Diceros bicornis minor: one gene and its partners. Each later gene encodes a partner of the first gene's protein in a complex. Links are inferred from orthologs where the notes say so. Each region holds a gene or a part of one and is shown in the gene's direction. Other genes may lie near its edges.

Region 1 (7,167 bases):
TATCATTTAATATTAAATTGGGAGCATTTTTCCATGTTATTCAATACTGGTTTTTAATGGCTAGATTATCTGTCTATCCGTATATGTCTATATCCTTTTATATATTTATTTTTGAAATTTAATCTACAGTAATGTACAGGTTGATGAATTTCTATGTTGCATACACTCATGAGACAAGACCACCACCCAGATGGAATTATAGAATCCTGTGGTCCCTCTCAGTCCATAACCTTCCCATTTTCACAAATTGACCCCCAGTTTATTTACCTACTCCCCTATTACTGGACACATAGGTTGCTTCTAGTCTTTTATCCTTATAAACAGTGCTGCCGTGAACTTCCATGTACATACACGTTTGTTTGCATCTGATTGCTTCCTTCAGATACATTTCTAGAAGTTGTAAAACACTGGGTCAGGGGGCATGAACATACGGGAACGCTCTCAGTTAAAATGCTGCCTCCTTGTCAAACATCTTTCCCATTACGCTTGTCCAGAATGGCCTTGCCCCTCCTTGGTGTTTCTGCTGCACTTTGCTCAGACAGTACAATTATGGTATTGTATTCATGGGCCCCCAACCTGTTTCCAGTGCTTGGCTTCAAAACTAGATCCTCAGGAGCAAGCTTTGTGCATCTTTGCATCCCCCTACCTGGAGACACAATAAAAATTGTTTGAGTTCTCTTGTCTATCTCTGAAGCCCTTCCTAAAAGCAGTGACGTTTCAGGGCTATTCAAAACCAATTGAAATTGGTTTCACTTTGAGAGTAAACAAGACTTGCTACATAGCCGAGGAGAACTCTGAAACCCATCTCTAGGTACTTCTGAGATTGTTGACGTGGTTAAATGAGTTAATACACAAGAGAGTGTTTTTTTAAAAATTCCCATCAGACTGTTAAACTCAGAGCAAACATTTTTTTTTTCCTATTAATCACCGGAGCCCTCACATACCTTATTGGGTTAAGTCCAGTAACTCCCAGGGGTTTATGTGTCTAAAGGGGCACACAGTTGCTTTTCCCTTCAGGAATGCATCTGCCCGGTGCGTTCCTGCTGTTGCTCCTTGCCGCCAGGTGGGGTTGCTGTTGAAGACTGGTCCTGTGCAGTTGTAGGAGCTGGCCTGCTCACGGCTTCCTTCTGTGACACCCTTGCGTGTCCGGCTTGGGCCACCGCAGTCTGTCAAAGGAGAACAAGCCCACTCCCTCACTCCAGGCCAGGCTGAGGATGCTCTGCACTGGGGCTCCTGAAACTGCCTTTCTGCCACTTCCCATGGCAAGAGCAAGTCATGGGGTCAGAGCCGTTTCTTCTCTGTGGAGGCCACCTTGCTAAGAAGTGAGGCAGCCTTTTCAAGGGCATTCCAAGTACAAAAGATCTTGGCCTCTCAGGACAGTGGGGCCAGTGCTCTCTGTACCTAATATAAGGGACATATTGCTGGAGAAGAACCATTACATTACAGCAAGAGGATTTACCTGAGCCTCACCTTTGCATAACTGATAGGAGCCATTCAAGAGTCTCTTTTTCGAAGCAGAAAGTCTGCTAGGTGAACTGCAGTGTCTATTCTGGACCTAAAAGAAGATGCTAACCTTTTCAAGATTCCCATTCAGTGGCCATCTGATTTAATCTTTACAAGTACCCTTTTATATAAGTTAAATGTGAAATAAAACTGTATATATCTATGTGCATCCTCATGTGTATATAGTATTATATTTAATATTTAATTCATTCATTAAATATTTACTGAGCCCCACTGGGTGCCGGATCTGTGGAACTGAACTGCATACCTATGTCTGAGTGTGTGTATACAGTTGCCGTGTATCTGATGAGATGTTCATTCACTTATTTCACAAATATTTAATAAGCTCTTTTCTGTCTACTTGGGACACTGAGTGGAGTCAGTGCCCTTGCAGACCTCACAATGTTCATATTTCTTCTTAGTTTAAAAAGAGCAGGTAATGGGCCGCCCCCGTGGCTTAGTGGTTAAGTGCGTGCGCTCTGCTGCTGGTGGCCTGGGTTCGGATCCCAGGCGCGCACCGACGCACCACTTCTCTGGCCATGCTGAGGCCATGTGCCACATACAGCAACTAGAAGGATGTGCAGCTATGACATACAACTATCTACTGGGGCTTTGGGGGAAAAATAAATAAATAAATAAAATCTTTTAAAAAAAAAAAACAGGTAAGTTGAGTGCTTTCCAAATTTTACTTAAACAACCTGACTCATGCAAAACAAATTGCTTATTTCTATGTAATCCTTGATTAAAAAATAAGATACTGGGACCGGCCCAGTGGCGCAGGCGGTTAAGTGCGTGTGCTTCGCTGCAGCAGCCCGGGGTTCGCCGGTTTGGATCCCGGGCATGCACTGATGCACTGCTTGTCAAGCCATGCTCTGGCAGCGTCCCATACAAAGTGGAGGAAGATGGGTGTGGATGTTGCCCAGGGCCAGTCTTCCTCAGCAAAAAGAGGGGGATTGGCAGATATTAGCTCCGGGCCGATCTTCCTCACACACACACACACACACAAAAATATATATATATATAAGATAGTGTACATCAGAGTTAGATATTAAAAAGAGAAGTAGGGTGGGAATATACTTGGGGAGAGCTTGTTTATTTCGCTTATCTGAAGTAAGAAAGAATATCTCCAGGTGGGCTGGTTTCCAACTTGCACCACATACACAAAGCACTTCATTCTAGGAAGGAGAGAGTAAATTAAAGAGAAGTATTTTGCCCATGTTTATTTTCTCCTACAAGTGTGATATAAAACTTTTAACATGTGCAGAAGCAAGCAACCACAACCACGTGTGGAAACAGCCATTTTTGCAAATAAAAATGCTTCCCAGAAGCATGACAAATGCAAGACTAACAGGTGTAGCACAGATCCAAGGCGCACATGTGGTTCTCATCAGCTGCCTCTCTCCTGTTTTAAATCTAGGTCTTCCTCTAACAACGAAAATTATTTCTCCCAAGGCTGCAGGCCGATAATCCACTCAGCCTGCTTTTCCACCCCTTCTCATAACAGTCATTCTAATAGAGCTTCCAGAGAGAGAGAGTAGAGACAGCAGTGAAAGAAGGCAGCAAGGTGGGGTGGGGAGCGGCGGGGGGCAGCCCTTAGACTTGACATTAACAATTCTGGGTTTGACCTATAACTCTGGGTGACCTTGGGTCTCACTTTCCTCCTCCATGCAAAGCAGGGTGGAAGGGTCCTTTAAACCAGTGGTTCTCAACAGAGGGCGATTCTGCCCGCCAGGGGACACCGAGCAATAACTGAAGACATTTTTGTTTGTCCGTACTGAAGGAGAGGGTGCTACTGGCATCTAGTGGGTAGAGACCAGGGATGCTGCTGAACGTCCTGCAATGCACAGGACGGCCCCTACAACAGAGTGATCCGGCCCCAAATGTCCCTGGTGCCCAGGTTAAGAAACCCTGGCGTGGACACAGGTTTGCAACCTCGGGCTCAGCTCATGGCGCTGGCTTTGGAGCTTTTGCAGCCGGGTTGGCGGCTCCTCCAACAGGCGCTTTACTGTCTCCCGTTTTCGTGATCCGGGCGCGGGAGGCACTGCAGCCCCCTGCGCCCTGGGGAGGGGAGGAGCGAACGGAGGAGGGGAGGGGACGGGCGGGGCGGCGGGCCTTGGCGCCCCTCAGATGACCCTTCCGAGCAGAAGCACAACGTGGACGTCTGTCTGCCTCGCCCCCAGGAGCGCCGATCTAGGGGCTGGGAAGGACTCCCGGGCTCGGAAAACTTGGCAGCTTCTCCCGCCCGCGACTCCCGTCACTGCGGGGACGGCTTTCCTCCCCGAGGAGTGGTCCTTCCGTCGCCCTGCCCGCCCCGCGGCCCAAAAGCAGCCGCCCGAAGTGCCCGGGTTCAAGAACTCGGTGCGCACCGCGCGTTTCCGTCGGAAACCTCCGCCCCCCGGCCCGGAGGGGGCGGGGCCTCCAGGCGCCGGCCGTTGCCCCGCCCAACCGCCTCCCAACGGCTCCCTCGGCCGGGCCGGGTTGAGTGCCCCTGTGCGCGCATGCGTGGAGGGGCGGGGCAGGGCCCGCGCGGGGCCCCGCCCCGGCCCGGCGTCTCTGCCCGCCCCATCTCCCAGCCTCCTCAGCGTGGCGCCGACGCTGCGTGCGGCGCGGGTTACCCAGAGTGCTCCGCGCAGGGGCAGCTCACTGGAGTTTGGTTCTCGAGGCGGCGGCAGTAGCGGCGGCGGCTCCGGCGGCTCCTCCTCCTCCTCCTCTGGTGGCGGCGGCGCCCCGGGCCCGAGCCCCGGCCCCGGCTCCCTTCTCCGCCACCCCGCGCGCCCCTTCCTCCCCCGGCGCCGCGGGGAACATGAGGCTCCGGTCCCGGAGGCCGGCGAGTGAGTGACCCCCGTCCCCTGCCTCAGCCCGCCCGCCCGCTGGCCCGGCCTCTACCCCCCGCCTCGCCCAGGCAATGACAGCGGCTCCGGCGTCTCCGCAGCAGATCAGGGACCGGCTGCTGCAGGCCATCGACCCCCAGAGCAACGTAAGTACCCGCCGCTTGTGCCGGGACGGAGGCCGCGTGGGCCCGGGACCCTGCTTTTCCCCGGTGCCCCTCGTCCTTCGGGCTCCGAGAGACCCGCCCGACGCCCACCTCACCTTGAGGGCCACTGCCATCCCGGCCTCTCGCCCCCCGGGCCCGGGCCGGGGGAAGGTCGGGCAGCCCGGCGGCGCTCTGTACGTGAGGCTGAGGCTTCCGTGCGGCCTGGGTGGAGGGAGCAGACGGGAGGTGAGGCCAGAGCTTTTCCTCTCCTCCCACTTCGGTTGTACGACCCTCGCTGCTCCTGACGGAGCCCCCCCGCCTCGCCCTCCCCCGGGGGCTCGCGACCCCCGGGAAGCCCTCCCGGCGCGGGGGAGGGGTGGGAGAAATGCTGTGAAGCAACTGGTGTCTGGGATATGACTCGGGGAGCCGGTGCCTCCCGTGTCTCGGTCTTCTGGGTGATCAGGGAAGCTCTCCTTCCCTCTTCTCCCGGCTGGAAGCACCTTCTTGGCTTCGGAAGGAAACCCCCCGGCGTGCTTTGCCCCTAGCCGGGTGCCCGCGGCGTGTGGAGAGTCCCCCTTGGTTCTGCGAGTCGACATGTCTTTTCCGGATCCCTCTTGGGGTCGCTGCCGACGAAAGATAATCTTGGGGAGGGTAGGATTCTTCCTGTTGCCTTTCTGAGCCTAAGTGTCCATTGCGTCTCTGACCAAGCCAGAGCCCCCCTGTTTAGTAGTGAATTAGAAATGATTGTTTTCTCTTCTGTTCCCCCATGAGCCCTCCTTCGGCTGTCTCTTCCCCCACCTGGAGGTCCCAGGCTGGTGCTTTGTGAGCTAGACGGTCAGGGTTAACCCCAGGGTGTCGCTTTCTCAGATGGCTCTCCACCGAGGCTGCTGTTTGCAGAGGTATGTCCCCTGCCCCCCTCCGTGTGTGTAGGGGAAGACTCATCCTGTTTTCATATTTTCTCCAAAGGGTTGTTGGCAGTAGGGGTCATTTTCCCCTATGGCAGGAGCAGGTTGAGCAATAGGAAGATGCAGTGGCATCCAGGTATGAAGTGAGCCCCTGCATTTGCTGAGAGATCAGGAAGTGGCAGTTGGAATCTCTTTTTAACATGCTGGGGACGGAAGGAAAAACTGTCTTGGACTTGGCCAGGTAACCCAGGTTTCTCTCACTGTAGGGGCTTTTGCTTTTCCTTTATGTGAGTTTGGCTAATTCCTCTTAGCATTATGCTTTGGCTTGGTATTTTTGGAATAATTCATGTTGGATTGTACAGTTTTGGTAGAAATTGAGAAGTTATGATCTTTATAAGCCTCTGATTTCTGTATCATAGGTAATTCTCTCATCCCTGGTCTTTAGTCCCCATTAAGGTTGATTTGGTAGTAATTGTCTTTAACAAATGTTGTATACATTTTTGTTATGATTTTGGGGGTGGAGTAGGCACAAGCTATATAAAACCTTCCAGAATTTTTGCAGCAAGTGGTGCTGCTGCAGTGGCCAAAACTGAAATATTAGAGGATAAAACAAGTGATATGAAAAATATAGCATTGGCGACTTTTGTATCTTTTGTCCAGTCAGAGTATAATTTCTTGAATTCCATGTGCTTGCTTGCCTTCCAGAGAATCTGAGAGGTGCCTGAGATATTAGCACTGATCCTTAATGCCACCTAGGAGAGCTTTGGGATCAGGAGGCACTTTGACAGGCGGTCACAATGTTGTAGATTAGGTGGGGCAGTGACCTCCGAGGTTCCGGTGTTCTATAAGGCTGTAATCTAAAGGCTTCCTAGGAGTAGAGGAGGGAGAGGAGGATGACGGGCTGGCCAGAAGCAGGAGGAGGGAAGAAATCCAGTTTCGTGTATCTTGGCGCCTGGTGTGTGCAGAAACTTTACATTTATTTAAGCCCGTGGTTGTGTTGCATGGGATGGAATTCATGTTTCATTTGGCTTCTTTTGGGGTTTCTAGTGATAGGTGTACGTTGAGTCCTACCTACTAACATAAGTGTGATGGATGGAATTGGGAAATTGTCTCTTTGAATATGTGCAGCAAGGAAAGTACCTCTTCTAAATGCTGCCATTGTAAGCAACCACCGGTGAGCATTGTTACTAGCCATTTGACAGGAGCCTGGCTTGGAGCAAACCCCATTATAGAAACTCAGCTGTGGCAGAACAGGTTGCTGGTGGAGATGGTACAACCGTTATGTCTGCAGTTTCTCACTAATGACCTGGGCTCAGGTGAGAGTGAGGTGGCTCCAACAAGGTGTTGCTGCCACACAGCTGCTCTCCTCTGCCTTGCCCAGTTATGAACTCGACTTCCGGATAGTTAGTTGACACATATTTAAGATGCTCGTGGAAAAAAAAATGGGGACAGTGTTGAAGAGCCAACACTAAAATTAAACCTCTTCTGAGAGAAGCGACAGAATTGTGTCGTGTAATGCTTACCTTTATGGGCATGCAATTATGGTTAACAAACTTCGCTTTTGCTTGGTCAGGCAGCTGACCTAATATCCAGAAGTATCTAGAAAGTTGAGAGGTAACAAAGTAACGTTTACTGACCGTCTCCTTGACAAAGGAGTTGTTAAGAGGAAAGTTGTTTCTGTGCTCTAAATTCTAGCCTGTGGAGTATTTGAATTTCTACAGCAGCAGGCTATAAATTATAATTTCTGCCAGCTCAGTAATAAAGTAAATCGTCTACACTCCTTTT
Region 2 (7,164 bases), on another chromosome or scaffold:
CACAGTAATCTTCCCACCAGTCTTCTAGGTACTACTAACAAGGGGGATAGAAGCAGTTAATGCAGAAAGGTCTGGAAGGATACATACCAGGTTGCTGACATTAACTATTTCCAGAGGATGGAAATGGCAATGATGACAAATTATTAAATTTTTCTTTACACAGCCTTGAATTATTTCATTTGTTACTTAAGCACATATCACTTTTGTAATAAAAACATTAACACGGAACATTGTTGAAGAAAAGTGACTACTTTGTTCATTTAAAAAACACTGATTAAGAGTGTTCATATATAATGCACATGGTCTGCCATGTTAAAAAAAATTAGTAAGCTCACCAAAGACTGAAATTCCAAAGTCTAATTATTAGTCTATAGCAGAAGTTGTATGAGGCAGAAGCATGAGGGCAGACTCGGGGGCTTTACAACATTCCCCTGGCCTGAGCCCCTATTCTACTGGGCAGCCCAGCGCACTCCCCTGTAATTAAATGAAGTAAGTGGGTAACGACTCAGCACAGCGCCTGGCAATAGCAAGTACTCTGCCTCACCATGAGGTCCCTCAGAATCAAGGTCATTCACATTCTGCTAAACGGGACCTCCTTTCGTCCTCCGACAAATATCACATAAACTATTGAAAGCACGAATGTAGGGTCTCCTCAAAAAGCAACACATCCCTCTCCTCTGAGAGCTCCTGCCCTGACATCTGACAGAGGACACTGCTTCTAACCCTCTCCCCTAGCAAACCCTGCTACGAAGTGGGGTGCTTCCCCCAAAGGACCACTCTAACTTTCTAAGTTGCTAGAAACTTCAGGGTTTTTCAGCCTTGGTACTATTGACATTTGGGCCAAATGACTGGGCCAAATGACATTGGGCCAAATGATTCTTTGTTGTCAGAGGTGGGGGTGTGGGGATGACCTGTGCATTTTAAGATGTTTAATGGCATCCCTGGCCTCTACCCATTAGATACCAGTAGTATCCAACCCCCACAGTTGTGACAAAAACATCACCAGACATTGCCAAGTGTTACCTGTGGGGCAAAACTGCCCCCAGTTGAGAACCACTATTACAGATCAATTCAGTGGTTCTTCAGTCATCCCATGAGAACCCAGGACTAGGACTACACATTAATATCCATGCATGCCTCCCTAAAAAAACTCCCCAAAAAACATGAACTTTTAAACCTTTAAGACCTTCTTCCCAGGAGCAAAGTAATGTTGCCTGTGAAAGGCACATTTTCTAAAGCATTTGTCTGACATTTTAGTTCAAACTTTCTCCCTTATTGGTGGCTGCCAAAGGACTATAGGCAAGGCAAAATTAGGTAGGTCAATCCAGGCCCTGTGGGGTGAAACAGAAGGATGAGGGGTTCAGCCAGCTGGTGCTCCCTGAAGAACAAGATCTCAAATTCATTCATAAAATGAGCAAGACAGACCGGCAGATGACTGTCACTCAGTCCCATGGCTTTAAATACCATCTATGTACTGACGACCCCACATTTTACATTTTCAATCCTCACCTCTCTCATGGTAGCCAACCTCTTGCATTCAACCACCACTCAGTGTCTCCACTTGGGTATTTTATAGGCATCCCAAACTCAACATGGCCAAACTGAACTGATTTTCCCTCCTAAACCTGATCTTTCCCTGGTATTTCTCATCCCAGTAAATGGCACTACCATACACCAAACTGCTCAAGTCAAGTCACCCTTGATTCTTCTATTCCTCTTCCCTTCACCTTCGTATCCACCAGTCATGTCAGCCCTGCCTCCAAAACACACCCCTAATCTGCCCTCTCTTCTCTAGCTCCACTTCTTCCACCCTAGTGTGAACCACTTTCCTCTTACTGGACCATGGCATTAGCTTCCTAAGTAGTTCCCATTTCCTCTCTTGTCCGTCCCCTACATCAGGGTTTCTCAACCTCACACTATTGACATTTTGGACTAAGTCTGTTAGTATGTTAGTCCAAACTTAGGCCCCTTTGTTTGGAGGAGGGGAGCTGTCTTGTACACTGTAGAATGTTTAGCATCATCCCTGGTCTCTACACACTAGATGCACCACCCCTGCACAAATTGTGACAACCAAAATGTCTCTAGATATTGCTAAATGTCCCCTAGGGGACAAAATCACCCCCAGTCAAGAACTATCCTATATCCTACACTCAGAAGCCAGGATATTTTAAAAATGTAAATTGCATCATGTTACTCCCCTGCTGAAAACCCTCCAATGTCTTCCCATTGACCTTAGAATAAAATCTACTGTAGCTTACAAGACCCCTATGAATTGGCCCCTGCCTACTTCTCTAACATCTTCCCTTCCATACCATCCTCTCCCTGACTAAGCTCCAGCCACACGGGTCTTTCTGTTCGTTGAACATTCCAAGCTTGCTCCCATCCCCCCTTGGCACTTGCTGTTCCCTCTGCCTAGAATGCAGTCTCCCCAGATCTTTGCATGGCTCACTTTTCATCCATACAAATCTGAGGTCAAATGTTGCCTAATCACCAAGGCCCTCCCTGACCATCTTATCTAAAGAACCCCCTTACCTCCGTTCTCTATCACACTACCCGTTTATTTCCTTCATAGTGCTAATCACAATAGCAAACGGTCTTTTTCTGTCATTTGCTGTCTGCCTCTTCATCAAAGCATAAGCTCTTTGAGGGCCAGGACCCTGTCTCCTGCCTGGTTCACTGCTATAGCCCAAGTGCTAGAATAACACCTGGCACGGAGTGGGTTCTCAATAAATACTCCTTCCCTCCACCTTCTTAAACCTCAGGTCAGGTTTCCCTTCTAAGATTATGCTTGATTGTTGATGTTGTTGTTTACCTTCAATTTTCATTTTTAACTAAATTTGGCCTATGTTAAAAAGTGTGTGGGTGGGGGTACCATATACAAGGGCTTAGCAAAGGAAAATAACCGATTATTGTGAAACATAAACAAAGGCCAATGAATTAATGAATGAATGAAAGTCTGTTCCTTGCCTCTCAGATTTTTAGCAGGCATATAATCATTCCACTGGTCATGATTTCAGTTTGCCCTCTGTCCCTAAGTCTGAAGCAGTGAAGGTCGTCATTCAGGGACTATGAATCCAAAACTCACCTGGCTCAGAGGTTGAAACAGCCTCTTTGTCCATCAACCCACTTTAATACAGTATCATGGGCCTGAAAACTTTTTGTGCTGGCTTCAAGTTAAAATAGTTCACTGGGTGAAAGGCAGTGCGGTCCAAGGTGCAGCATGGTCAATAAGTGCTAGCTGAGTCCCGAAACCGCAGCTTGGCTCTTTCTGACACTGATTCATGGGCTGTTTCTATGACACCAAAGATGACTGGTCCACTTGGCAGCCGGCTGGCTGCACACTGGAGGCAATTCTGTCCTGGCTACGGGCCACGGCCCTTTCGTGGCCTCTGGGAAGTGTTTCATGGGGCCATTTTTACATTCTGGCGGGCAGCCGGCCTGTCCCGCCGGGGCGGGCTCTCCACGCGGTGCAGAGACGTCTCCAACCGCAGGGACGAGGCCCTGACGTGGCGGGAGGACGTTTCCGTGCGCTGCGAGGAGGTCTCCACGTGCTGGGAGGACACCTCGAGGAGGCGCGGGAGCCACTTCCCAGGGGAGGCGGAGGAGGGGGAGGGCCGCTCGCTGTGGCGCAGGGAGGTCTCCACCTGCCGGGAAGACGTCCGCACCTGCCGCGAGGAGGTCTCCACGCGGTGGGACGAGCTCTCCACGCGGACCGTCGATGTCTCCTGGTAGCGGGCGGTCTCCACCCGGGGCGAAGAGGGCTTTCCCCGACCGGGTGCGGCCATTCCGCGAGTGTAACGGGCCCAAGGAGGCCTGAGGCCCCGCAGCCCAGCGGTCCTCAACAGTCACGCCTCTGGGTTACGTCACAGGGTAAGGAATGACATCACAATGACGTGTTACGCCACCGCAGGCACAGGGGTGGACGAGAGGGTCACGACACGAGAACGTGGAGGCACGTGGGCCTGTGGGGCCTGGACTATCCCTTCAAAATCCTGGGCCGGGCCCCTGCGGCACTCCTTCGGCCCCCGCACAGGCCCCTCGCCTTTTTGGAGCCTGCGCGGGCGGGGCCGGGGCGGGCCTGGATGGGCGGAGCCTCCCGCCCCGGCGCGAGACTGTCCCCGCTCCCACATCCCACAGTGCTCCGCGACAGGAAGGGGAGCCGCGGCTTCCGGAACCTGCCGCGCCGCTACGCGGGGTTGCTGTGTCCGGCTGGTGGCGAGTTACCGTGTTAGCTTGTGATGGCCGCGGCTGTCGCTATGGAGACAGGTAAGCGGCGCTGGGAGTCGCGGGTCTTCGCAAATAGGACTGTCGCGGGCCCAGACCCCTCTTCTCGCTTCCCCGGCGGCTCCTTCCAGGCCTGACTCCCGGCAGGGATGGAGTTCGGACCGGGAGGGGGAAGCTGAGAGGTAGTTTGGCCTTTTCTGAGTTGGTTTGTTCGGAGATCCTTTTTCCCCACCTGTTGTTCAAACACCGACCACACTGACTTCCCGGCGTGGGCGAGACTAAGGGAGAGGACTTCGGTCTTAAACCGTTCCTCGATTTGTTTCTGCCTCTCAAATGAGCTTGCAGAAGTTTGAAATATCGTCGACAAAGTTGTGTGTTATTCTGCCACTGACGCTTCTCACATGCGACACACTCCTTGGTCTTGCGTACTCTCCTTTTCAGCTTGCTTTCTAAATGTTTTCCTGATTGATTTAGCATTCACCTAGCTTTGCTTAACTTAATTACTTAACAAGTTGTTGTAATGCATTACTGAAATGGGGGAAGGCACAGTTATTACAACCTACCCCAGTGGTCACTGTTAAAAATCCCTACATAGTGGCTCACAGGTGATAAATATTCTGCCCCGTGTGAGTTCCTATTTTCTTTGATGACGTCTCTTTAACTTGAGAGAAACTTCTCACTTACTCCTTTTAATCAGGGCTTTGCTTTTCTTAGACTTCTAAGGAAGGTTTATCTTCTCCCACACTCAGTGTAGGAAAACCATCACATGCCCTTCTCTATGCAGAAATGAATCTCAGCATTAGTCGTGTTTTTCTTTACTGCTGTTTTCTTTCTACAAATCAATATTATATAGAGTGATCTTTATTTTGGATAATTTTTGCTATCTTTTCTCCTAGATGATGCTGGAAATCGACTTCGGTTTCAGTTGGAGTTGGAATTTGTGCAGTGTTTAGCCAACCCAAATTACCTTAATTGTAAGTTGTTGAGCACCTCTTTGAATTAAGTAGCTATTAATGATTTCTGACAGAAGAGTTGCAATTCATGATAGTAACTACTTTTATACGTTCTCAATTGAACAGAATTAATGCTACACTTGTACTGGTATATATATAATTGAGCAAACTGTGACTTGTGTTTTGAATTCAGTATCTGTTGGTGGTGGGAATGTTATGTAAGTAAATTCTTTATGTTAGGAGTTACAAATCAGTAGTTCAAGGATTGGTTTGCTCTACAGATGTGTTTTTTTTCTTATGCCTTTCAGTTCTTGCCCAAAGAGGTTACTTCAAAGACAAAGCTTTTGTTAATTACCTTAAGTACTTGCTTTACTGGAAAGAACCAGAATATGCCAAGTATCTAAAGTAAGTTTAATTTTATAGTCCTAAATATGTGTATACTTTATTATACTCCAAAACACTGTATTCAACAGACTTCTTAGTTTCACATTGGAAAAAATATATTTTAAATCTCTCCACTTCTTTTAGTTGCCACCACCTTAATACAAGACACATTCATCTCTAACTTGGATTATTGCAGTAATCTACTCATGGGTTATCCCTGCTTCCACTCTTACCCCCCTGCCCCTGCCAAGCCAAACAAAGCAAAATAATTTTCAGAAGCCAACTTAATCTCTTAAAAAAATGTAAATCGCAACATGTCAGTTTCTTGCTTGGCACCTTTCAGTAGCTTCCCATTGCATGTAGAATCAAATACAGTCTCTTTTCTTGAGCTAAAGCCCTGTATATTCTGGCCCTGAACTGTCTGACCTTACCTTGTACCCCATCTCACTGGATTTCTGATCCCAAGGAACCCACAATCTATAAATGCAATGACATAGCCATAGGCTGAAAATTAAAGAACATAGAAAGGGGTACTTCTAAGGAAGGTTTCCGGAGGAGGTAACCTTACCTGAGTCTTAATAGCTGCTGTCTTTTTATAGGACCGCCTATGTGCCAAGCACTGTGCTTATTTAAAAAAAAATATATATATGTATATTTAGCACTTGGGTTGTGCAACAGATGTCATTTTAAGGCTTACTAAATTGAAAGAAGCATATTATAATCACAAACCTATTCCTTTTTAATGGTAAAAAATAAACTTTGAACTCATATTTCTGCTTTGTCTTAACCAGGTAGTTAAAAAGCAATAGTGAAACTTTTTGTCTTTTTTTCCCTAAACAAACAGTAAGTTGGAGAGGAAGATGTTTCAAGTTTGTACTTTATCCAAGTCACTTTTCTAATCTGTGTCTAAGAAAACAACTGATTAACGGAGCCCACATCCTCTTGCTGCCTGCAGGACCCTTTGCACCCTTACTGGCCCTTTATAAACAACCACTTATTCATTTAATAATCCAGAGAAGAGACTTTTTTATTAGATTGCAACATGTTATATGTATGTAGTTTTAGGGGGAAGAGGGAGAATCTCCCTCTGCCCTTTTCCTTAAGGTTCTTATGGCTGGCCAAATAATTAACAAGACAGGTTAGCAGGAGAAAATAATACCAAGTTTAATAACATGTATACATGGGAGAAAGCAGGGACACTGCGTTTCTCAACACAATAGCAGAAATTCTCGTTTTAAATACCATGTTCAGCCAATGACAAAGGAGGATTTTGGGGGTTGGGGGAGTCAGTTACAGGAGATTACCACTAAAGCACAGTAAACAAGAGTAAGGTTATTATGCAGCTTTAAGGCCTCAACTTCCACATTGATAAGCCTCTAGAAATGAGGCCATCCCCCTCTCTTCTCAAAACAGAGAGGGAGATACCTTTACAAATGGAGATTTCCCTTATAAATGTAAATGATTGTCTGGCAACTCCTCGCAGGGTCATCCAGAGAATGTGGCCAGAGAGACAGAACTTCTGATAAGAGGGGCTTGTTGGTGCCTTTCCTATTGTAACCTCCATCCTACATTATCTTTACAGCCATCATGATAGATCTGTTCC
Region 3 (7,805 bases), on another chromosome or scaffold:
CCTCGCTTCTGATAAGAGTCCGACTTGCAAGTTCCGGTCATGTCCTAGTCCTTTGGTTCCGTGGTGGGGGAGAATCTTTGGTTCTGGTGTCATTTCAGGTCAAGATTTTCTCCTCTGCACGTGCTCTGGCTACGTGACTTGCAACTTTTTTTTGCACACTGCCTCTGAAAAATAACTCTTAATCACTCCTCTGTTGATAAGAAGGGGTCAGTTCGAACTGGTCCTAGTGGGCCCATGGTTACAGCAACAATAAAGAAATAACTGGAGTCAGCTAAGGTATAATGGGAAAACACCAGTCAGATCTAGGTTCAGGTTCTACCCCACCACAAACTGGCTGGTGCCTTTCAGTAAATCACTTAACCTCTGACTTTGGTTTCCTTGACTGAACAAGATCTTTTTCAAATTGCTCTTGTGAGGATTAAATGAGATAACTGGTATGAAAGAATTGTATAAAGTATATGGTGTAAAACTGTAAGATATTACAACCAACTCAGTGTGATCCTGGAAAAATAAAACTTTTCCAGGGAATTTTCTCAGTAATATTCCATTAATACAATATACGGTTATTCAATTTGTTTGGTTTTGCTTAACTTAAGTCATTCCTTTCCACCTAATAATCCTCGTGATAATCCATGCACCTTTAATTTAATTAGAGAACTGAAGGAGGGCTTTCAGAGCTCTCAAAGGCCCTTCTCAGTACCCTTGGCTTATAGTTCTTTCTCACCTTCTAGAATGTAAGCTCCATTATGAGCAAGTGAGACAGACAATAAACATGACAAAGAAACAAACAAGACAATTTCAGAGTAAAGACCACAATGAAGAATAGCAAAAACCATGTGAGAAAAAACATGGGAGGAGGAGCAACTATAGATTTGATGGTCCAAAGCCTCCATACCTTTTGTTTGTAATACAGGGACCCAAATCATTACTGCAGACAGAACCGGTCAACAGCAATTTACAGGAAGGAGTCAGGGACCTAGGTTTTTAGCCTCAATCTCCAACAAAAAGTAACTGACTAGATTTAGAAATGGACATGTAAAGTGGGGGTTAAGGAAGATGACAGACCTTACTAAATATTATACCTCAGCAAAAATGAAGAAGAGTTTCCATGAATGAAATTGGTTTAGAATTGGGATTTACAATTGTGGAAAGATGAATTTTAAAAGGGAGCTGTGGTCAATCAGAAGACCAAAGATAAGACTAAAAGGAATATTCTCTAAAGATAGAGAATGGGTCTATGGCAAAGACTGGCTATGTATACTCCAAACCTTATTTCCTTTGCCTCTTGGGCATATTGCAACTAGACTCTCAGTCTCCTTGCATCTAGGCAGAACTGTATGACTAGTACTCCTGGACAGAATGTGAGTGGAAGTGATGTGCCACTGCGCCTAGGCAGTTAAGAAAGGGTGTATCCTTGCATTCCAGCTTTCTTTCAGCATCCGCTGGCTGGATGATGCTAGGAAGGCCATAGGTTGAAGACAGAATGAGACTGGGTTCCAGAATAACTGTGTGAAGCAGAGGTCCCTTGGTTGTTCTGCTTGTTCATTCATTGTTTTGAAACTTTTTGTTATAGAAAATTTCAAACACATACAAAAGGATAGAGAGGATACTGAAGAGTAACAGAATATGCCACCCCAAAATATGTCACTTTGGCATAAGGATTATTTTGAGCCTGAAGGCAATTGAGAAGTAGATAAAAGAAAAGCTGCCTACTCTCCCCATTTGTCTAAAAGCAGGACATAAATTTTCAAAGGTATCCCTCCAACCCTCTCTACCAGGAAGGACAAAAGTTAATCAAGGGAGGTAACTTTAGACCCTATCAGCCTGGAGACAGCGCCAGAGCAATCTACCTAGCAAACTAGCCTTTACCTACCATTAGTTTACTTTCCCACAGTCTGTCGCCCTTGGAAGCCTAAAACTGCTTTCCTTTGTCCAGCCATTTCTTGACAAATTTATCATTCTTTGCTGAAGACGCTGTATAAGTGGAGTTCTAAGCCACCCCTTTGAGTTACTCCTTTTCCCCTGGTATCTCCCATGTATACATGAGACATACATGTTAATAAACTTCTATTTGTCTTTTAATTATCTAGTCTGTCTTTTATTACAGGGGTTTCAGCCAAGCCCTCAGAAGGGTAGAGGGAAAATTAATTTTCCTCCTCACAATACTTTAATGAACCCCTATTACTCAGCTTCAACAGTAACATTTTGCCAAAATGGTTCTATTTCATCTATGCTACCCACTTTTTTTGCTGGGGAAACTTAAAGCAAATTCCAGCGATATCATTTCACCTATAAATACTTCAGTGTGTATCTCTTACAGATAAGGACTTTTTTTAACAAACCAAAATCCCATTATCATACCTTACACAATTAACAATAATTCCTTACTGTCATCTAATATTTGGTCATTATTCAAATGATCCCAATTATCTCAAGTTGTCTTTCTACAGTTGTTTGTTCAAATCAGGAACAAGCAAGCAAGATCCACGTACTGCATTTGGCTGATGTGTGTCCTTGTTCTTCCTTAATCTCTAATATATCTGCCCTTCCTTTTTACCCCCCAGCCATTTATCTGTTGAAGGCATTGAGTCACTTGCACCGTCAACATTCTTGCTTTTAAGATTTGGCTGCCTTCATACTCATGGTATGTTTTTTTCTAATGATGATCCTCCATCTCCCATATTTCTTGTAAAGTGCTAATGAAATCTAGAGGTCTGAATACAATAAAATCCAAATTTTTTGCCAAAAATGTATCATAGGTGGTGCTAAGTACTCCCCACTGCATCACTTCAGAGGACACATTAACCTTTCATCTGATGGTTTTAGCATCCACCGATGATCATTGCCTCGATTTATTATTTCATTGGGGCTACTAAATAATTTTTAAATTCTATCATTCCTTCTGTATTAACCCAAATTCTTATATTAAGAAATCAACATTCTCTTATCAATTATTTGATTACTCTGAAACACAGTATATCTAAGAAACGTGAAATGCTTCTTTCCTTTTATTTAATAAAATAGAAATAAACTTTTGTTCTGTTAAGCCATTGAAATTTTGAATTTTACCTGTTATTGCTAACATTATTTACCTTAACATCCTAACTTCCCAATCACCAAGGTAAATCAGTAAAACACGTATTTTCCGGGAAAACAAACACTGGCCATAAACCCGAAGTAGTTAAAAAAAAAAAATTCTATCAGAGTAATAATAAAATATAAAACCTTCCAATATTTTGCATATTATTAGACGAGTATACAAAGAAATTAATTGTATAAAAGGTTCTACATTTATTAAAATCTTTATTACTATCCACTTATATTTTTGAGTTCCATTTTGGTTAAAGTGGTATAGAATATCAGACAAAGATAGGATCTTTTGAAAGAGCATGGCAACATTTGAGCTAATTGATAATACTGTCTGGGAAAGGACAGACAAAGCATTAAAAAGTAAACAAGAGACGGAGGATAAAAGTAAAGGAGTAGGTTCTAGTAAAGGTCAAGACTCATTTGAGGAGGCTGGAAAACAAGATGAAAACTCAGGATGACCTTCCTTCCTCAGAACACAGATGCTGCTATACACCAGAGGGCACAGAGCTTCCATTCATTTTTCTGAGTGGTCCCTCCATTCTTAGTCAGGAAGTACAGCAAGAGGCTTGAGATAGATTTCTTTACAAGATATTTTTTACAATTCCTTTTCAATAGGCTTAACAATTTTATTCATTTTTGCATTCTCAGGATGCAGCACAGTGCCTAGCATACTGCGCGCACTCTGGAAATGTTAACTGAATTAAGAAATGGCTGTGAGTGTGCAGGTACTATGGCCAGAAGAGTGGTTTCAAACCCCAGGCACTCACTCGTTGTGTGACCTTGGGCAAGTCGCCAAACCACGCTGAGATCAATTTCTTCATCAATAAAAAGTAAATACCATTTGCCTTGTTTACCTCACTGGCTCTCAATAGGCTCTCCATATGAGCAGCACTGTGAAACACTGTACATGGGTCTTGTTAGGTAGGGCTATTGACAACTATGAATGGTAAGATGGAAAGAACCCTGGACTCCAGAGTCAGAAGACCCAGGCTGTCTTCTGTGCAGACTAACCCGCTGTTTTCCCATCTTAATTAAACATGCAGAGGTCTAGAGCGATGACGGTCCGACCCTACACGCTAATGGTCTGGAAGTCCGCTACAGCCTCGGAACCTCAGGTGTTCTCAAAAAGGGGAACCTCAAGGCCCCCGGATGCAACCGCGGGGGCAGGGAAGTCAAGGTCGCGGGGTCCTCAGGCGGGGGTCGCTCACCCAGTCAAAGTCACACGGGTTGCCGTCTTCGCGTTGCGTGGGGAGACTGTGGCAGAGCGGGGGCAGCTTCCTCACGAGTAGAAAGGCCACCGAGAGCAGGGCTGACAGAAGGTAGTAAGGTCGGGCCAGCCATCGTGAAAGTCGCGGCACCGAATACACCAGAGCAATTAAAGGCGCCAGGACCGCCATCTTTTCGGCCGTTGCGGAGCCCGCAGCTCCTCGGCGTCGGTTGGTCAGGTAACCGTCTCTCCCCACATTGGGCCTGGTCTCGGATGCACCGCCTCTGGACCCGGAATTAGATCTAATTGGACTTTACGGTGGGTAAGAACTGAGAGAGGGATCTGATACTTTATTGGTCAATCTAGCTGTCGCTTTTCTCCCGCCCCAAGACATTTTATTGGACATGTGACTACGGCAAGCGAAGATATCAGAAAGAATTTAATATGGTTAGACAGCGCTTCCTGAACGTTCTCAAACAGCGACGGAAGTAGTTGCCGGAAGAAAGTGGGCGGGGCCCGAGGCAATCCAATGATAAGCGGCTCCTGGAGGAAGGGGGCGGTACCCCGTAAAAGGATTGTCCAATGAGAATCACCAACGCCAGACACCCGAACACCGCCGGCGCGGAGGGGAAGATGGAGAATTTCACGGCGCTGTTCGGGGCTCAGGCTGACCCACCACCGCCCCCAACCGCACTCGGCTTCGGACCGGGAAAGCCTCCACCCCCGCCTCCCCCTCCTCCGGGCGGGGGACCCGGCACGGCCCCGCCCCCCACCGCAGCCACGGCCCCTCCCGGCGCCGACAAGTCAGCGGCGGGTTGCGGTCCCTTCTACCTAATGCGGGAATTGCCAGGTGAGTACTAGGCCTGGCCGAAACCAGCCAATCAGATCATAGCGATGAAGTGAGGGGCGTGGCTCTCAGCCCGCCGGCGGAGGTGAGGCGTAACCTAGGCAACGCGTTCTGGGACTTTGGAGCTCTTAAGTCCGAAGGGTTCTGAGGATTCACAAGCAAAGGAATGGCATGAATTCTTGGGATGGATTGGGGATGGGAAAAGAATGCATCCCCGTGATCATCTTTCACGCCCTGTCCGGCCCCTGTCCCTGACACTGGTTTATGGCTCCCTAGAAGCTATCCAGGGTTCGAGTTTGGAACTCGAGAGTCCTGATTTAACATCCCTGCGGACGTAAGGTTTTAGTTCCAAGTCTGCCACAAACTTGCTATCGGTTTGGGGCAAGCTGCCCTCCTCAGGGCCTCAGCGTTTCCTCAGCTGTTTGAAGAAGTGATTCGAATTGAACAACATTCTTTCATTCAAAAAATTATTTTGTTGAGCACCTACTGTGTACCGAGCACTGTTCTAAATGCTGAAGATACAGCTGCGAACAAGACTCACAAGATCGTTGCCTTTTTTGGAGTTTATATGTCAGCGAAGGAGGCAAAAAGTAAAAAAGATAATATCAGACAGTGGTTATTGCTACAAGGAGAAAACGTGATAAAAAAATTGAGGGGGCAGAACTACTTTAGCTAGAATGATTAGAGAAGTCCTCTCTGAGTACATTACATTTGAGCTAAAATGTAAACACAGAGAAAGAGTCAGGCATTTATGAGTGGGAGGGAGGGATAATTCTAGATACAAGAAATGAGATCAGAAGCCCTGATGTGAGAAGAACCTTGGAATATCTGAGGGACCAAAGAGCAGTTGGTCTCCAGTGAATTGAACATAAGAAAGAGTGATAGGAGATGAAGGTGGGAGGAATAGGCAGAGGCCTTGTAAGGCATTTAGATTTTAAGTTCAGGGGGAAGCCATTTTAACACAGGAGAGTGACATGATCTAACTTATTTTTTATTTTATTTTATTTTTTTGGTGAGGAAGATTGGCCCTGAGCTAACATGTGTTGCCGACCTTCCTCTCTCTGCTTAAGGAAGATTGTCACTGAGCTAACATCTGTGCCAGTCCTCCTCTGTTGTATATGTGGGACACTGCCACAGCATGACTTGATGAGCAGCGTGTAGGTCCGTGTCTGGGATCCGAACCTGCGAACCCTGGGCTGCCAAAGCAGAGGGCATGACCTTAACCACTACACCACAGGGCCAGCCCCATAACTTATTTATTTTTAATCATTCAAGCAGCTACATTAAGAAAGCAAAGTGAGAAAATCAGTCGAGAGTTACTGCTTAGTAGTCAGGCAAAGAGATAATGGCTTGGACTAGGCAATAGCAGTGGAGGAGAGAAGTAAGTGGATGCAGGATAAATGTTAGAGGTAGAGCAGGAATGAAGGACTACATATAGAAATGAAGGAGAGAGGAATTGAGAATGATTTGGAAATTTTTGGCTTGAATGATTGGGTGGATGGTAGTGCTAAGACCAGGAAAGAACAAGGATGGAAGGTGGAAACAAGATTTCCACCTTTGAGGAGGTGGAAATCAAGAGTCATCTTATACATGTTAAGTCTTCAAGATGCCTTTCACTTCATCCCATGACCTACTGCCACATCAAGAGTTGAGGGAAATAATAATGAATGTTGGTACAGTACTTTGAAGTTGACAATGCAGTTATATATGTCATAGTATTTAATACTTAGAACAGCCCCTCGAGATAGGCATTGTTATTGCATTTTGTAGTTGAAAAAACTGAAGCACAGAGAGGTTGACTTTTCTTTGGTTAGTGGTTGATGTCTACCAGCAGTTTCTTTAACCTTACCTGTTCTGATTGTACCTTTTTATATCAATCACTTGACAGATATTGAATATCTGTTTTGAGCAAAGGCTGGATGTGTAGGAAAGGGGACATGTGATGAGAAGGGGAGAGAGATTAATAAGCCCGGTCCTTGCTTTTAAGGAGCTTATTTTACTTAGGGATGCAAAGTTGTGGTCTAAGGATAAAGTAGTGACTGTTTCTTGTCAAGGCCAGTCTCATTACTTTGTGGTCATGACTCACATACAACTATTAAGAACTACATCATGGTCTTCAAAATGTGTCCCTTGTTATCCAAGTTAACAGCAGGAATAAGTTGTCACTTGAGCTAGACCTTGAAGAATTCATATTAGTGAAGAAAATTAGGAGGAAGTTTCCTATAATTAGGTCAATTTTCCTAAAAGAAATTTCCTAAAAGGAAACAGTATGAGGGGTGTTTTTTTCAGGAGATGGTGGAGACCCATTTGGATGGATCAGCAGTTTTGCACAGGGCAGTAGTGGTTGATCAGGCCCCAAAGCTAAGTTACGGTAAGATGTATTTTACCGCAAATGCCAAAGGAATTTGAGCTTTTTCCTGGGGGTAATAGGAAACCATTGAGATTTCTGAACTGAGGAGTACTGCTTCTAAAGATATCTGCAGGGGCTGGGCCGGTGCCATGGTGATTAGGTTTGCGCACTCCGCTTCGGTGGCCTGGTGGTTCGTGAGCTCGGATCCCGAGCACGGACATATGCACTGCTTGTCAAGCCATGCTGTGGTGGTGTCCCACATACAAAATAAAGGAAGATTGGCACAGATGTTAGCTCAGGGCCAATCTTCC
Region 4 (7,521 bases), on another chromosome or scaffold:
GCTAAGGAAAAAAGCAAAGGATGAAACCATAAAGGAAAAGATTGGCAGATTAAAGGAAAAGATTGGTAGATTTGGCTACTTAAAAATTTAAATTTTATGAAAGTCAAAAAACACCATAAACAATACAAAAAGTCAAGTTGATGACCAAAAATTAAAATTAGCAAAGGACATGAATAAGGAATTTCACACACACAAAAAAGGAAATACAAATGGCCAATAAACACATGAAAAAAGTTCAAACTCACTAGTAACAAAAAAATCAAATTAAGAAACTAAAAATGTAAATATTTTAAAAGAATAAGAACATCCAGTGTGGATGAAAGAGCTGAGAAGTAGACATTCTAAGATAGGACTAATGGGAGTGTAATTTCATATAACTTTGTATAAAGTAATCTGTATCAAAAATCTTAAAAGTATTCATAGCTTTGATATGATAATTCTACTTTTAGATTTAAGTATGTCAATATGTATAAAAATTAGATATATGTATAAAAATTAGATATACGTATAAAAATTAGTGTACAAAACTGTTCATCAAAGTGTTATTTACAATAGCAAAAATCCTAAAATAACCTAAACGCCTAACGATAAAGAATTAAATAACCTGTAATACATCCGTATAATAGAATACTGTGTAGCTCTTTGAAAATCACATTTTAGAAGGCAAGTGATTGATCATGAAGTGTTTATGAAAAGGCAAGTTACAAAGCAATAAATATATATAGTATTAGGCTTATTTTGTTTTCTTTTTAATATGCATTCATGTTAATATGCATAGAAAGGTTGAAAAAACATATCAAGATGTTTAAAATAATTATCTCCAGGTGATTGAATTAAGAACGACTTTCTTTGCACATTTCTGCACTTTGTAAAAATTCTACATTGAAGGTGTATTGTTTTTAAATAAAATATAATTTTTAAAAAGATACATATAGTTTTAAAGATTTTCTTATAAAAGCATTCAGGATAATCATCTTCCTGTGTATGACACATAATGCTTTTCATGATGTAGCTCCTGCCTACCTCTCCAGGTTCTTCCCGCAACTAAACTCAAATTCCTCTATGCTGGCTGCACTGAATTAATTTCAGTTCCCTAAACTAACCCTATTCTCTCCCCAGCAATACCTTTGCAATGCAGTTGCCTCTGCCTGCAGAGGACAGCTGATGACCAATGTGTCAGCAATCAGAAGAGGGCCTCATTACCTTTGCTGTGCACTACTGTGACAGCTTGGGAGGATGACTGGCTGGGGTTCCTTGCTCATGTCAGAGTTCCAGTGGAGACCTGAGAAGCAAACGGGCTCAGCAGCTTTGCAGATGAGTTTGTCATCCCCATGAATTGAAAGGAAAATATTCCCCAATCCAAGATATAGGTAACTAGAGCCTTAAAGTCTGCTTAAAGTTTAGAAAAGGAAGAAAGGCAAGCCACCTATCCTAGATTTTTGATAAAATCCAAGACACCTTGGATGGAGATGGGAGCAAGGATCCAGGGGAAAGGCAGAAAAAAACTTGCCCGTTTATCCTATCCCACTCTAATCTCACCTTCGTTCTGTATTTTTTAACTCTCACGTTCTTCGTGTGGGTAGTAATTTACATTATTTTGACTGTGTTTATTAAATTAAATTCAATAAATGTTTACTTAGGAACTGTTATATGGAAATAATTATGCTAGGAAATTCATTCATTCAATCCATAAATATGCATTCAGTGGCTTCTATGTGCCAGGCTAAATGGTGCTAGGTATTGGAGATATGGAAACAATTAAAATATGTTTTCTGCCCACAAGTAGCTCATGGTGGTGAGTGAATTAGAGTCCTGTATGAGTAATTACACCTCAGTGTGCTAAATGCAATAGAAGTATAATAAACAATTATGGTAATGATTGGGAGTAATTAATTTACATTCAGGGTTCAGGAAGGGTTTATAAAGAAAGAAATGTTTAAAATAAGGTTTGAGGGCTGAGTAGATGATCAACAAGGAAACAAAGTGGAGGTATGGAAGGAAATGTGGGCATTCATGCAAGGAAGAGGAATTATGTGTCTTAATGGTGTGTGTAGAAGTGTGAAACAGCAGAGCATGTTTAGAGAACTGCAAGGAGTCTAGAACAGCAAATCCTTATTTATAGTGTTTCAGTCCAGTGCTTGGAACACTTTAAATGTTTAATAAATTGTGACTGAGTGGGTAATAAAGGTATTAGGTCTAGGATGTCAAGTTAAAGACTTTTTCTGAAAAAAATAGGGAGTCACTGCAGGTTTAAAATCTAATCAAGGTACTTACTACAAGATTGGATATGAGTTGATATTTGAAGCTGGGTGATGAGTACAGGAGGGTTCACTATACTATTCTATTTTTGCATATGTTTGAAACTTTTAATAATATAAAATTTAAAAGAAAGAACTTACCAAAATTACATGTTTAAAAGATAAGAAATATATAATACTGGGTTCCTGCTTTAAAACCATATAATCCAGTTGGAGATGCAAGAGAAGCAAATGAAAAAGCATATGAAAAGTGTCAAAATCATGAAAGGGAGAAAGGAGAAGGCCATGTTGCCTCTTGTAATTCATAAAATTTACAAGAAAAAGGTAAAACTTAAAAAGATAGAGTATGAATTAAATAGTAGCAAAGAAATTGCTCGTCAGAAATCCTAAGCTAGACACATAAGATTGTATTTGGCACACAAGGTATTTCCTGAAATCTACAGCTTCAAGAGATTCACAAACCCCTTAAGAATGTATGCAAAATTTTGAGAGCGTGGCCTGGGGAAAAGGTCCACGGCTTTCATCTGATTCTTAAAGGGGTCCTTGGCCAAAAGAAGCTTAGGAAGCCCAGGAAAACCAAGGGTTCAGGGTCATGGCTGAAAAATATTAAGTGATTATTTCACTCAGAAAATTATTGGGAGATGAGGCTGGATCTGTTGCGCTGAGGAGATTACAGTGAACCTTGAAAACCAGGCAGAGACGGCTGGACATCAACCTGAAGTCTCTGTGGAGCTGGTGAAAACCTGTAAGGAAGACAACAGGACAAAAGCTATGTCATAATATGAATTGTCTTGAAATGGCTCCTCTACCCTAGGCACCCAAGATCTCTTCAATCAAGCTATAAAATTTAGTATTCTCCTTTAGTGGGCCCTCTCATTCATCCCCCTATATCCAACCAGTCACCAACCCATGTTAATTTTTCCTCCACAAATAGCCTTTCCTTCCTCTCTGATCAGGATCAACACCCTAGTCTAAGCCCAACTCATCTCATTCTTGGATAACTGCAAAACTCTCCTCGCGAGTCCCTGACTAATTCATCTCTGCAAACCAAGCACCCAACATACCTGCTCTCACAGGGCAGGTATTCCATAAGGTACACTCAACTGGTGGTGGAAAGAGAACGTCATAGATTACTCCATTACTCCACAGTTAAAGCACATTAGAGTTACCTCTCATTAATCCCATTATGGAGGAAGTGCCTCACCCAGAGGTTCCTAATTAGGTCCCAGGAGGCATGAAGATGGTTTGGGGATGGGGCAGGAGGGGTGGTGAAACGGAAGTGGAGCTTCCCAGCTACGGTTGGGGTCAATCCAACAAGCTGAGTTCCGCATGGATAGTTTCCCCCACCCTCCCTCAAACCCAGGAGGGTAATCAGCGATAAACAGCCAGAGAAAGAGGGAATGTGAGTTCCACGAATAAGTTATTTGCAGATTCCACGCTCATTTCTTTCCAGACTATCCCCAGGCTAACTTTCCTTTAGTACCTCCTCCGTTCCTCACACTGAGTTCCTCGCTGTCATACAGACGAGATGCTTATTACGCTCACAGCTGACCTAACTCCAAACGCTCCTCTCACTTTTGCCCGCGGAGACCTTCTTTCTCCTTACTCTTCCGACACACCCAATACAGCTCAGTTTAGTATTTAATTGTTTCGGACGCTTCCCGTCTCACGCGTGTCAGCTCCCGCAACACACCCACACTCAGAATTAAAGCACGTACCCAGTCTCCACTTGGGTAAGTCCCTCGGGACCCAAAAGCAACAGAGGAGGCACCCTAACCCAGCCCTTCCTGGTTGGTGAGTTTTAATTTGGATTTGTCGAAGTTAAAGTCGGTATCGTGAGTCCCAAGTCTTCTTGAGTTGCTTGCTTTGTACGGTATGTGTTTCGTGGTCCACCTGGAAAGCAAGAGCAACGTAAAATAAGTATTCAGGGCGATTTTAAAAATGAATATATGGGAGGGTAGGGAAAATTAACTTTTAAAGACGGCAGAGACCAACAACTTCCGTAAAGTGTTTAACTCCTAAAAACCTCGAGAACTGTATGTTAGCCCCAAAACCGAGTGGACCCGGGACACCCCCAAGTGAACGACCTGCACCCAGCGCATCTTTTCCGCAAGGTAAGCCTCGGGAACTTCCCGCCCTCTCCTCGCCGGGCGTGGAGTTCTGCTTGACTCCACCCCCTCCAGAACGTAGCCCTGTGATTGGCCAGGACGCGTCTTAGAGCTGCCCAATCGCGTACGAGCAGCTGCTTTCGCGTTCTTTTGCTTGCGGGAGGAACATGGCGGATCGGCTCACACAGCTCCAGGACGCCGTGAACTCGGTGAGCAATTTCACCCGATTAGTCTCTGTCTTCCTCTTTCCCGAGGTAAAGTGAGGGAGGAAAAGGGGCCCGAGAGACAGAACCCGGAAGTGGGGAGCGGACCGAGGCAGGGCTTGAGCAGTAAGAGCTCGGGGCGGCGGGAGGCGCCGCGGCGATCGGGGACGTTTGAGGCCGGCTGCCCGGCGGTGCGGAGGGCTGCGGGAGGGAGCAGCCTCTTTGGCCTGAGAAGTGGCGGGTCTCTCTACCAAAGCCTCACGGTCCTGTCATGTTCTCCAGGGACAGTCTTGTTTTCTTGTCAGTGGCGCTTATGGGGTCTCTTCTCTTTTTGGGGGAGGGGAGAAGCAGCAGAAGCTCTTTTCCCCGTTGTCAGTTTTCACCCCTGGAGGGAACCCTGTGCTCTTGATGATTGGCTCTTTGTCGTTGGGTGTTAGCCGAGAGTATTCCTTCGCCAAAACTTTCAGGATGGCGCGGGAGTGATGGTGAGGTGAGAAGTTTTGTTTCATCTTAGTTGGTACCTAGAGACCAAAGGTCTTGTTCCATCTCTTGTCCTCTCCCCAGCATAAATCATTTTGGGGAAAACTGACATTTTTGTGCTAGTGAATCTTCTAATCCTCGTATACCTTCCCATTTATTTAAGTCTTCTTTAATGTCTCCCCAGTACTACTCCCTATTAAAGGTCAAGTTTTGTAAGTAGCTCCCTTTGCTTTGATCCTTCTGGTTATTTTTCCTGTTATGCCTAAGTGGAAAGTATGTGCAAACCAAGGGTTCATATACTTATTACCATTAAGTTAAATAGTTTTCCATTGGTAGTTATATTTCTCATGGTCATTCTGTTATTTGATGTCCCAGGTAAGATGCCTATAGAGAGAGAATATGTTGACTGGAAAATCTAAGTATTTGGTTCCTTGCCAGTTTTTTCTCATTGGAAGCTAGCAAGTTGGGATTCTGGTTATTACATCAATCTTAGTACACTTGAAGAGCGTGAATCTGCTGAGAAACTGATCTACTCTGTGTGTGTGTATAAAATAAACTCTTTTAAAAAAGAGAGGGCCATCCCTTCTAAATGTTGATGAATTCACCAAGATAAATTCAACCTTGCGGTGACTTACCTGGGCTGCCCGCCAAGCTCGCTCAGGAAGATACTCCTTTGAGGTTTTACAAAATCAAATTGTAATGATGCTGCTGGATAGAAATGTTATTTTAGGGGAAATATTCATGCATGTCTTGTAGCCAGAAGGATAGTAAGGACAAAGTGAATATGGCCTTAACTCCAGGGTGGGCGTGCTGATAATTGGATTTTGGAGAGAAGCATCTAGGTTAACTAGCATGAGTGCCTGCTGTGTATATAAGCACTACCATGTTTACAGAGAGATGCTCCTTAAGGAGTTTACAGTCTGATTAGAAAGATGTCATATACTGGAGACATTTAAATAATACGAAAGCAGTATGTGGTTTGGGAGTTATAATGAATCAAGTGTTTTCAGCTGTCAGTGCTGAAGTAAATTGGAATATAGAGTGATATAAACTAAAATAGAGGGATTCTTAGCATTTACCTGAATCGTAATTATTTGTAAAATTATTAAAATAACATTTGTTTTACCATCTGAGAACTCCATGAGGAGTTCTTGTTCACAGTATTGCTATAATGTTTATGTACAATGCTTGTCATGGAGTTGATTTTCCATAAATATTTGTTGAATACATGGGTCTTGAGAGCTTTTGAAGGACAGAGCAGATAGCCACTGTGTTGAATTTGTGTGTGTGTGTGTTCTCTGTTCCTCACAAGAATACTGTAATATGAGAATGTTCCCAATTTAAAAATGAAAAAAATCTACTCAGGTTACTAGAACCAGAATTAGAATCCACATCCTCTGAGCACTTACTACTGCTCTGTTACCAGTAAGGAAAGGTGAGCAAAGCGGTGTAGTCGGAAATGAATTCATCACTGGTCAGGTATATATGAAGGAGTGGTAGAAAATGAATAAGTGGAGTTGACTTAGATTATTGAAACAGCTTGAAGAGTAGTAGATTTATCTTGAAGACCATGCTGGAGTGAGCTCAAAATTTTTGAGCAGGGTAAAATAACAGTGAACTGGAAAACAAGAAGGAGGCTATTGTAACAATTCCTATGGGAGATAATTGGTTGAACTAAAACAGCAGCAGTGATGATAGAAGGAAGAGGGAAAGATGTGTAGTATTAGCAGGATTTGAAGATGAAAGGAAACCAAGAGTCTGAAGTTAAACTGGTTGACTAGGAGAGTCTCAATACAAATTAGATATTAAACAAAGGAAACAGTTGACTGAGTTCTGTCGTTCAAATAATGGCAGAGAGACTTCGTGGAAATGCTTATTCACTGATTGGAAATAAGATATTGAAATTTGAGAGGTCAGGACTATTGAGAGAAGTTGGTGGGGAGGATAGGAGTGTTAAGTTTGCAGATGGTAAGGACTTGATATTCTCAATCTCAAAACTGCTTAAGGAATACTTTTAGAGCACCGGGAGTTTACAACTTGAGTCATGGAGAAAAACATTTTGGAATACTTAAGGTGCAGTCTTTTTCCCACTATTTCTTTTTCTTGTTTGAGGAATATTAGCCCTGAGCTAACATCTGTTGCCAATCCTCCTCTTTTTTTGCTGAGGAAGATTGGCCCTGGACTAACACCCGTGCACATCTTCCTCTACTTTATATGGGACGCCGCCACAGCATGGCTTGACAGGCGGTGCATAGGCCTGCGCCCGGGATCTGAACCTGTGAACCCCTGGCCGCCGAAGCAGAGCGCACAAACTTAACCATTATGCCACTGGGCCAGACCCCGACTATTTCTTTATGCTTGAGACTACTCTGGTCTCAGAAAAGGGATTGTATACTTTGTACAAGAGTCACACATTTTTTTATTTACCCTGGGTCCATACTTAGATATTTGCCAGTCAAATTTGCTCTTTTC

What was found.
Region 2: MED26 (region 1) and MED31 share a complex: the UniProt entries of both Homo sapiens proteins name them as parts of the mediator complex. The link is inferred for Diceros bicornis minor from reciprocal best matches to the Homo sapiens genes MED26 and MED31.
Region 3: MED26 (region 1) and MED19 share a complex: the UniProt entries of both Homo sapiens proteins name them as parts of the mediator complex. The link is inferred for Diceros bicornis minor from reciprocal best matches to the Homo sapiens genes MED26 and MED19.
Region 4: the proteins of MED26 (region 1) and MED21 are in contact, whole or in part, in a cryo-EM structure (PDB 7EMF), measured with the Homo sapiens proteins. The link is inferred for Diceros bicornis minor from reciprocal best matches to the Homo sapiens genes MED26 and MED21. Residues at the interface, in NP_004822.2 of Homo sapiens: Ser481, Arg482, Asn483, Glu484, Ile485, Ser488, Tyr489, Ser491, Arg492, Ser495, Leu496, Ser498, Ser499, Ser500, Leu528, His529, Ser535, Pro537, Thr538, Asp539, Leu540, Pro541, Gln549, Asp551, Leu552, Ile555, Gln556, Trp560, Gly562, Val563; in NP_004255.2 of Homo sapiens: Ala2, Asp3, Arg4, Leu5, Gln7, Asp10, Ser14, Gln18, Asn21, Gly24, Val25, Gln28, Cys29, Tyr54, Leu57, Phe58, Leu61, Arg64, Thr65, Lys67, Asp68, Val71, Leu72, Asp74, Ser75, Leu76, Pro77, Ser78, Glu79, Glu80.

Annotation. Positions count from the first base shown.
Region 1 is NC_080759.1:4,774,155-4,781,321, reverse strand, and holds the start of MED26 (mediator of RNA polymerase II transcription subunit 26), read left to right. Parts: upstream 1-4,163; 5' UTR 4,164-4,408; coding exon 4,409-4,480; intron 4,481-4,505; exon of another isoform or gene 4,506-7,167. UniProt on the Homo sapiens protein: Component of the Mediator complex, a coactivator involved in the regulated transcription of nearly all RNA polymerase II-dependent genes.
Region 2 is NC_080757.1:13,085,220-13,092,383, reverse strand, and holds the start of MED31 (mediator of RNA polymerase II transcription subunit 31), read left to right. Parts: upstream 1-4,158; 5' UTR 4,159-4,238; coding exon 4,239-4,266; intron 4,267-5,120; coding exon 5,121-5,198; intron 5,199-5,485; coding exon 5,486-5,582; intron 5,583-7,164. Other genes in the region: C18H17orf100 (uncharacterized protein C17orf100 homolog), read right to left, coding at 3,402-3,785. UniProt on the Homo sapiens protein: Component of the Mediator complex, a coactivator involved in the regulated transcription of nearly all RNA polymerase II-dependent genes.
Region 3 is NC_080770.1:16,251,822-16,259,626, forward strand, and holds the start of MED19 (mediator of RNA polymerase II transcription subunit 19), read left to right. Parts: upstream 1-4,796; 5' UTR 4,797-4,879; coding exon 4,880-5,147; intron 5,148-7,805. Other genes in the region: TMX2 (thioredoxin-related transmembrane protein 2), read right to left, coding at 4,299-4,487. UniProt on the Homo sapiens protein: Component of the Mediator complex, a coactivator involved in the regulated transcription of nearly all RNA polymerase II-dependent genes.
Region 4 is NC_080756.1:35,909,458-35,916,978, reverse strand, and holds the start of MED21 (mediator of RNA polymerase II transcription subunit 21), read left to right. Parts: upstream 1-4,508; 5' UTR 4,509-4,533; coding exon 4,534-4,575; intron 4,576-7,521. UniProt on the Homo sapiens protein: Component of the Mediator complex, a coactivator involved in the regulated transcription of nearly all RNA polymerase II-dependent genes.